Lonchura striata: one gene and its partner. The protein of the gene in region 2 purifies or fractionates together with the protein of the main gene of each other region. This does not show direct contact. Links are inferred from orthologs where the notes say so. Each region holds a gene or a part of one and is shown on either strand. Other genes may lie near its edges.

Evidence for each region.
Region 1: the proteins of CDK7 (region 2) and GTF2H5 purify together in Homo sapiens (affinity purification with mass spectrometry; 7 studies listed by BioGRID and IntAct, with this or other methods). This does not show direct contact. The link is inferred for Lonchura striata from reciprocal best matches to the Homo sapiens genes CDK7 and GTF2H5.

What each region holds. Positions count from the first base shown.
Region 1 is NC_134605.1:53,867,989-53,871,901, reverse strand, and holds the start of GTF2H5 (general transcription factor IIH subunit 5), read left to right. Parts: upstream 1-1,437; 5' UTR 1,438-1,510; exon of another isoform or gene 1,511-1,605; intron 1,606-2,400; 5' UTR 2,401-2,459; coding exon 2,460-2,494; intron 2,495-3,913. UniProt on the Homo sapiens protein: Component of the general transcription and DNA repair factor IIH (TFIIH) core complex, which is involved in general and transcription-coupled nucleotide excision repair (NER) of damaged DNA and, when complexed to CAK, in RNA transcription by RNA polymerase II.
Region 2 is NC_134642.1:11,847,559-11,851,471, reverse strand, and holds the start of CDK7 (cyclin-dependent kinase 7), read right to left. Parts: upstream 2,813-3,913; 5' UTR 2,755-2,812; coding exon 2,695-2,754; intron 2,368-2,694; coding exon 2,308-2,367; intron 1-2,307. UniProt on the Homo sapiens protein: Serine/threonine kinase involved in cell cycle control and in RNA polymerase II-mediated RNA transcription. Cyclin-dependent kinases (CDKs) are activated by the binding to a cyclin and mediate the progression through the cell cycle.

The DNA of each region.
Region 1 (3,913 bases), on a different chromosome or scaffold from region 2:
CTTTTCTTGTTTCCCAGAAAGTTTTGTTTTTCCCTTTTCTCTTGCTTGTGTTTGGGAGATTTTTGAAAAACATCAGCATTACCCCAGCATTGCCAAAATTACGGCAGACTGCTTTTTGACTTCCGTCATTTCAACCTCGTTTATCCATTCACTTCAATTGTGAAACACTTTTAAGATTTTGATCATCAGTCCTCTAGAGACAAATCTCCCACCTCCAAACTCCCTGTCTCATGACAGTTCCTTGGTTCATAGAATCACAGTACTCACATTTACTCTCTAACCACAATCTGAAATAAACATGTGGTTCAGTGACAGCAGGTGCCACAACTACTAAAATTTAGAACATGCACCTGCAAACACAGCAGGCTCCTCCGTTGCCAGGAGCTCCTGTTCAGGTCCAAGGGCAAGCATCAAATCATCAAATGTTAAGGGTCTGGCATGGACCTTAAAGATCACCTAATCCCTACATCCCTGCCATGGGCAGGGGAACCTCCCACCAGACCTTGTTTTTCACAGCCTTTTCCAGCCTGGCCTTGAACACTTCCAAGGCTGGGGCATCCACAACCTTCCTGAGAAATCTGTTCCAGTGTCTCACGACCTGCACAGTTAAGAATTTCTTTTAAAATATCTAATCTAAATGTCTCCCCTTTTCGCTTGCACCCATTATTCCTTGTCCTACACTACAGCTCCCGATTAAGTGTGCCTCTCTGACTTCCCTGCAGGACCCTCAGACACTGGAATGTGGCCGTGGGGTCTCCACGCAACCTCCTCTTCTCTAGGCTGACCTGCCACAACTTCCTCGCTCTGCTGTCACAGGGGAAGTGCTCCAGCCCTGTTACCAACCTCGTGGCCCTTCTCTGGACTTGCCTAGCAGCCCCACGTCCTTGTGATGCTGGGGAGCCCAGGTGAGGTGTCAGCAGAGCGGAGGAGGGGCAGAATCGCCGCCCCGGGCCCGCCGCCAGCTCCAGCCGGCTGCTCTGGGGCTGGAGCGCGCACTGCCGCCTCACGCTGGGCTTCTCGTGCTTAGCCACATGCAAGTATAATGCAGAAGGACCCATTTCGCACCGTTCCACAGCTGGCCCAGGCAGCTCCGAGCCCCGTCCCGCACCGGGGTGCGGTCCCCACCCGCCCGCCGCGCGACTGCGCATCTGGGGCGTATTAAAAAAAAATATATATAAAATAAAAACACTACCGCAAACACAACTTTAAACAATGCAACACGTAGACGAGCAAGGAGGCAGGCTGGGGTGGCTCCGTGCCTCTTTCCAACGGGGAGGAACAGCGCGCCCCGAGCCCCATCCCGCCCGCCCAGCGCCTTCCCGCGCCCCCGGCCCGGGCCGCCGCTCCCACCTTCCGCCTGCGCCGCGCTCCCCGCGCGGCCCCGCGCGCCGCGTGACGTCAGCGCGCCGCCGCCCGCCCCGCCAATCCGCGGCGGCTGCCGGGGCCGGCCTGCGCGTGCGCGGGCGGGGCACTTCCGCCGGCGGGGAGGCGGCGCGGGACGAGGGCGGAGGTGAGGGAGCGGGTGAGGGAGCGGGACCGGTCCGTACGCGGCGGAGGTGAGGGACCGCACCGGAGCTCCTGGGAACCCCTCTGAGCAAGGAGGAGGTGAAGGCCAGGACGGGCCAGCAACTCCGCCGGGGAGTAGAATTGTCGTAAAGAGTCTTTGCGTAAAACCGAGGCGTTATTTGTTTGGATTTGCGTGTTGGGGGTGTGTGGGGCGTGTTGTGCTTCCACATTTCCCGTGATCGCCAGTGCTGTTGTAGATGATAATGTAATACTGACTTTCGCATTTATTTCGCTTTTTGCATCGCAAGTATTTTGATACGGTACAATTTATATTTACTTTTAACTGCTTTTCTATAATATGACCTGTCAGCTTATGTGTGCACTGTATAGTTCATATGAATGTGAATAGCGTGATAAATATATTATATCATAACTTTTAGCAAACTGTTAAAATAGACTAAAATGCTTCAATGTAGCTGACTCACAGAATCGCGTAAAACAATTATTTTATTTCTTACATCTGCGGACTGGCCTCTCCAAGTGATAACAGTGACAGAAAACAGAGCATAAGCATTCAGGAAGGATTTATTGATTCTTTGCTATCAGGAAGTGTGAAACAACAAGATAGAGCTACGGGAAGAAATAAAATATATGGATCTGATCTACAGAATGTCCTGCAGACAAGTCAGAGGTTAAAACCAAACAAGAGAAACGTCAAAATCTCAAAAGCATGTTTGAATAATGTATAAACTGTTGAATTCACAGGTAACCCCAGCAATGTAACTATAGAGAGAACAGAGGTTTTAGGCTATCTCCATGCTCTGGAAATTTGTCTTTCTTTTATCCTTTATTAAAATTCTAAGAATTCTAAAGAGTGAACTCTTTTTTTCACAGTGTGATCCAAAACAGGGGTTGCTCTTGCCGACTCTTCAGCATTCATAAGAGCTGAGAAGATGGTGAATGTTCTGAAAGGTGTTCTGGTTGAGTGGTGAGTAGCAGCATTTACTGCCTCTCCTCGTGTCAAAGACTGTGTTTCTTTAGACCTGGAACTAATCTTAAGTAACTGAAGAGTCCAGACAAAAGGAGGTATTGTGGGGAAGGGTGGTGCTGAACAAGCAGAGAAAAGTGCGGCCTTTGGGGAAGAAAAAGAAGGCAATTGTGGATAGTCATAATGCCAAAGGCCCATTTTTCTGTTCAAGAGATTGTTTTCCACTTATGCCTAACCTCCTTAAAGAAAAAACTGCATATGAATATGGAGTAAAAATATGATGGTGAAAAAGTTAGAAATCACATAGTTGTAAAAATCCAGGTTATTATTTTAATTTAGCAAAATAGAGAAAAGGATGTAAAATACTTCAAATTAGCATTCACTATGAGAAATTATGCTTCAAAGCTATATTCTACCATGTCTAATGCTCCCCTAATATTGTCACGTCTTTTGAAACGTTTACAAGTTAAACTTTTAGCTGTATATGTAAGTTATCTATATGCTTGTCAGGTACAACTTAACCCTAGTATGAGCAATCCAGTTACCTTGGCAATTTTTCCTTGCAAATATTAGATGCTCCCTCTTGTTCTTTGTATTGCTTGCGAGCAGTTTCTTGCTGTTGTTTGTGAATCAAGTGTTTCTTTACTGATTCTTGAGGGAGACGAGGTAATCTTTCATTTATTCATTCCTGTTTTGTTTTTATTTAATCAGCTCTAGGCTGAATTTGGTGCAGGGTTAACATGTGGTTCTGTTTGTAGATCATATTTGAAATGAATGTGCTTGGAGTTGGTAAATGTCAGCTTTTTGGTGTAGGTGCAATGTACCTGTTTTCATATAATCTCATCTTTGGACTGAGACTCAGGCCTCTGGCTACCTCCAAAATTAAAGGAAGCATCACTCAAGATTTGTGGGGTCATATAGCGTTACATGATGTGTAAGATTTCTGCTGTACACTTAAGTCTCCTAATATGTTTGCAATCTAAAACTGCACAAAAGCAGTTCCATACTTCCAAAATGTTTTCTTCTAAACAATTTAAATTTTATTTAGAAGGTGATATCATGACTGTTCAGTTGGAGTGTGAGAAATAATACAATTCTTATATGAGCACTCTTTGTCTGTGCTATACTACTTTGAGTGAGATCTGTGTTCTCCTGTCTTTTGGTTATCCCTATACTTTAAGGAAACCTGTTTTTATGAGGCTATTGCTGAAATCAGAAATGTAAATTCAGTCTTGCCTTATTAAGGGTTGGACTTTTGAGTTTTAGTTTTGGTTTGGGAGTTTTTGAATCTGCTTTAGCAGCAGCAAACGGAAATTTCTCTGCTAATCAAGCAGCTGGTTCTACTCATTAGACTTTATTACAATTTTATTTTTGTCTCTATAGTAACCAAAACCACTTGGAAAGAATCAACTTTTACTA
Region 2 (3,913 bases):
TGCAAGCACATTGAAGATCCAATATCACTTTTGTCATGTTTTATCAAAAAATGATAAAATAAGTGTAGTAAGGCCCTCTGAGTACTATTTATTATTGTTTGGCCAAGCTGGCAGCAACACAGTAACAAAAGACTGAGGGCACTCAAAAGAGATTTGAGGGCCCCAGGAAAATTGATTCAAGTACATGGAGCATAGGCTGTGATTTCTTTCCTCCTTCTGGTATCAAGAACTAATACTGATAGAAATAGGCAGATCTATCTGATTGAAATGCGGCTCTGAAGCTGGTGTCAAAAGAAAAACTTTGAGGTTTATGGCCATGGGATGATCTATTCAGCACCTGTTCTACCAACACCTGATGGGCTGCACCTTTCTCAGAGTGGAAAAAGCTGCTGGCACAGCAGCTAGCATGGCTCATTGGCAGAGCTTTAAATGGGCTTTAAGAAGGGAGAAAAGGAAAATACCCAGCTCACCAGTGATAATCAGCAGGATGGTGTGTCAAAACTTGAATAAATGAACACTAATGGGCTACCTCAATCTGCTTCATGAGGTGTTGGCTACAAAGCACAACACCTGGAATGTTTCTCTACCAATACACTCAGCATGAGGAATAAACAAGAGGAGCTCAAAGCTTTGATTGAGTCCCAGAGATTTGGTATCACTGACTTGAATAAAAGCTAGTGGGATGACTCCTGTGACTGGAGTGCCCTGTTGGGCAGCTACAGGCTCTTCAGGAGATGTACACAGGACAAAAGAGAAGGGGGGTGACATCATATCTAATGGAGGGGCTGGAATGTACAAAGCTTACAGCTGGCAATGGTGCAGTTGAGAGCCTCTGGGTAGAAAACAAGGGACAAATAATGTGGATGTCATTGTGGGAGTTTGCTATAGATCTCCCAGTCAGGACAATGATGCCAATGAATTCTTCTTTGAGGCACTAAGGGATGCTTCTAAATGAACTGCCCTTTTTCTTACGGGGGTCTTCAACTTGCCAGAAAGCAACTGGAAGCATCACAAAACAGGTACCGCCTGGGACAGAAAATTTCTGAAAACCTGGACAACTTTGTGGAAAAGGCCATAAGGGAGCTGACTCAAAAAGATGCCTTCTTTGATCTGCTGCTTGTCAACAGAGAACCTCACAACTGAGGTGGAAATTGAGGCCATCTTGGCCATAGCAATCACAAAGCCATTGAGTAAAAAATTCTGTTGACAGTAGGAAAGTGCCAGCAAAACTTCAACCCTGGACATGAGGAAAGCAGATGTCAGGCTGCTCAGGGAATTAGTAAGTAAAGTCCCCTGGGAAAACATTTTTGCAGGTGCTGGGGTCCATCAGTGCCGGCTACTTTTTAAGCATCACCTCCTAAGGGCACAAGAGCAGGCATTTCCTAAATGTCACAAGTCAAGCAGATGAGGCAGAAGGACAACCTGGCTGAACAGGGATGTCCTCTTGAACATAACATAAAGAAGACAGGTGTATGCCTAATGGAAGCAGAGTCAGGTGACATGGAAAGAATACAGAGATGCTGCCTGCCATTTCTTATTAGAAGGGAATCAATATGAGATGCCAACCTCAATGGACAAAGCTGCAGGGAACAAGGCTTTGCTAATTCAGTTATTCAGGAAACATTTGTCTAAAAATGACAGGACGTGCGGTAACAGCATAAAACCGGTTCAGGGGAGGTTTAGACTGGATATTAGGTAATTATTCTTCATCCAGAGGGGCTGGGCACTGGAACAGGCTTCCCAGGGAAGTGGCCATGGCACCAAGGGGTGTTTGGACAATTGCCTCAGGCACATGGGGTGATTCTTACATTGTCCTGCACAGGGATGAGAGCTAGACTTGATGTTGATGGGTCCCTTCCAACTCAGCATATTCTATAAATTTTAAGGAACTTAATAAAGGGTGACATTCTGGACTGAAGGAATTTGGGCGCAGCAGCAGGAAGGATTTAAAATAAAAGGAAAAAAAAAGCAACTATCAAGGTACAGTAAAGTTTGCAGTTTGGAAACGTGTGTGTATTGCATAAACCTAGCAAATAACCAGAAATTCAAGTCACAGACTTGAATTCAAGTCAAGTGCAACCCTTCACAAATTCGGAAACACAGCAAAGCCATTCCCTCTTCTGGGGTGGGTGAGCATTACAGACAGGTTAAGTAGAGCATTTAAACACACTTCTCTAGAAATAAAAATGTGTATTATGCCATTTCCCATCAAGTTGGTTTAAAAAAAAAAAAAAAAAAGGAGTTGTTAGGTAGGTCAGGAGCAACCAGACGCTTTGGGACACGCTGAGAAGCCATTCTGACACTTACCTTCTTGATAGCAACGATTCGGTCGTTCGTCTTGTCCTTGGCTTTAAAAACAGTGGCGAACTAGGGACAGAGAGAGACGCCGCCGTGAGAAGGGCCTGGCGGACCGAACGAGAAGAGGCCCCCGCGCCCTCCCGGGGCGGGCACCGCCCGGCGCCCCTCACGGCCCGGCCCGTCGCTGACACAGGCCGGGCCCAGCTGGGCTGTCGCAGCCCCGGTGCCGCGGGCAGCCCCGGTGCCGCGGGCAGCCCCGGTGCCGCGGGCAGCCCCGGTGCCGCGGGCAGCCCGGGTGGCGCGGGCAGCCCCGGTGCCGCGGGCAGCCCCGGTGCCGCGGGCAGCCCGGGTGGCGCGGGCAGCCCCGGTGGCGCGGGCAGCCCCGCGGTCGCTCACCTGCCCTTCCCCGAGGAAGTCGAGCTTCTCGTAGCGCCTGGCGGGGGCCCGCGCATCCATCGCGGCGGGAGCAGGCGGCGGCACCGGCTCGGCTCTTTAGCCCAGCCCCGCCCCGCCCGGCGCGCGCAGCGGCGCATGCGCCGAGCCCCGCACACCGGCCCCGGGCCGAGTCGGCCCCGGGGTTCCTTCATTACGTACAATTACCTACAATATAGTATTTAAAACTACCATAATAGCCCTCAGAGAGATTTCTCGTAAGAGAGAAGTTGTCACTTGAAAATTAATTTCCCTACATGCCCAAGCTTTGCTGTTTTTTAATAAATTAGTCTGTAACACTAAAAAACCCGTGTAACTAAGAATAGTTGTCATCTCTGAGAGCACGTCAGTGTCTCTTTCCTGCTTGTAAAATCATTCTCAGTGACGTATCCAGGTGAATCAGTCTTACCTCAATCCCTGGAAAAGTGGTCGTATGCCTCATGCTGGAGGCCATCTATATCTATGTGGATGACAAGATGTTGATCAAGAATATCATTTCACATGGCTTCATTAAAGGCAAATCTTATTTGACCAACCTGATTGCCTTCTACAAGAATCAACTACGTGGATGGGTAAGGGAAGAGCAGTGGATATTGTCTACTTCATGTTAGTAGGGATTTCAACACTGTCTTTTAACAATGTCCTCACAGACAAACTCAGGGATGTGGGCTGGATGATCGGACAGTGGGGTGGATCAAGAACTGGCTGAACAACAGATCCCAGAGGGTTACAATCAGTGGCAGGGTCTAGCTGGAGGCCTCCCCCTAGTCGTGTCCCTCTAGGGTTTAACTTATTCATCCCTGGTTTAGAGGGAGGGGCAGATGCCTCCTCAGCAAATTCAGAGGACACAAAGCTGGGCAGAGTGGCTGATAACCTGGAGTACTGCACCCTTCAGAAGACCTTGACAGGCTGGAGAGATGGACAAAGAACCATTTGAAAATTCAGCAAAAGCAAATGCAGGGTCCTGCAACTGGGGAGGAACAACCCCAGGCACCAGCACAGCCTGGGGCCGACTTGCTGGGGAGCAGTGATGTGGAGAAGGACCTGGGGGTCCTGGTGGACAACAAGCTGTCCGTGGGCCAGCAGTGTGTCCTGGTGGCCAAGAAGGCCAGTGCTATCCTGGGGAGCATTGCCAGCAGGTGGAGGGAGGTGATCCTGCCCCTCTTCTCAGCCCTGGTGAGGC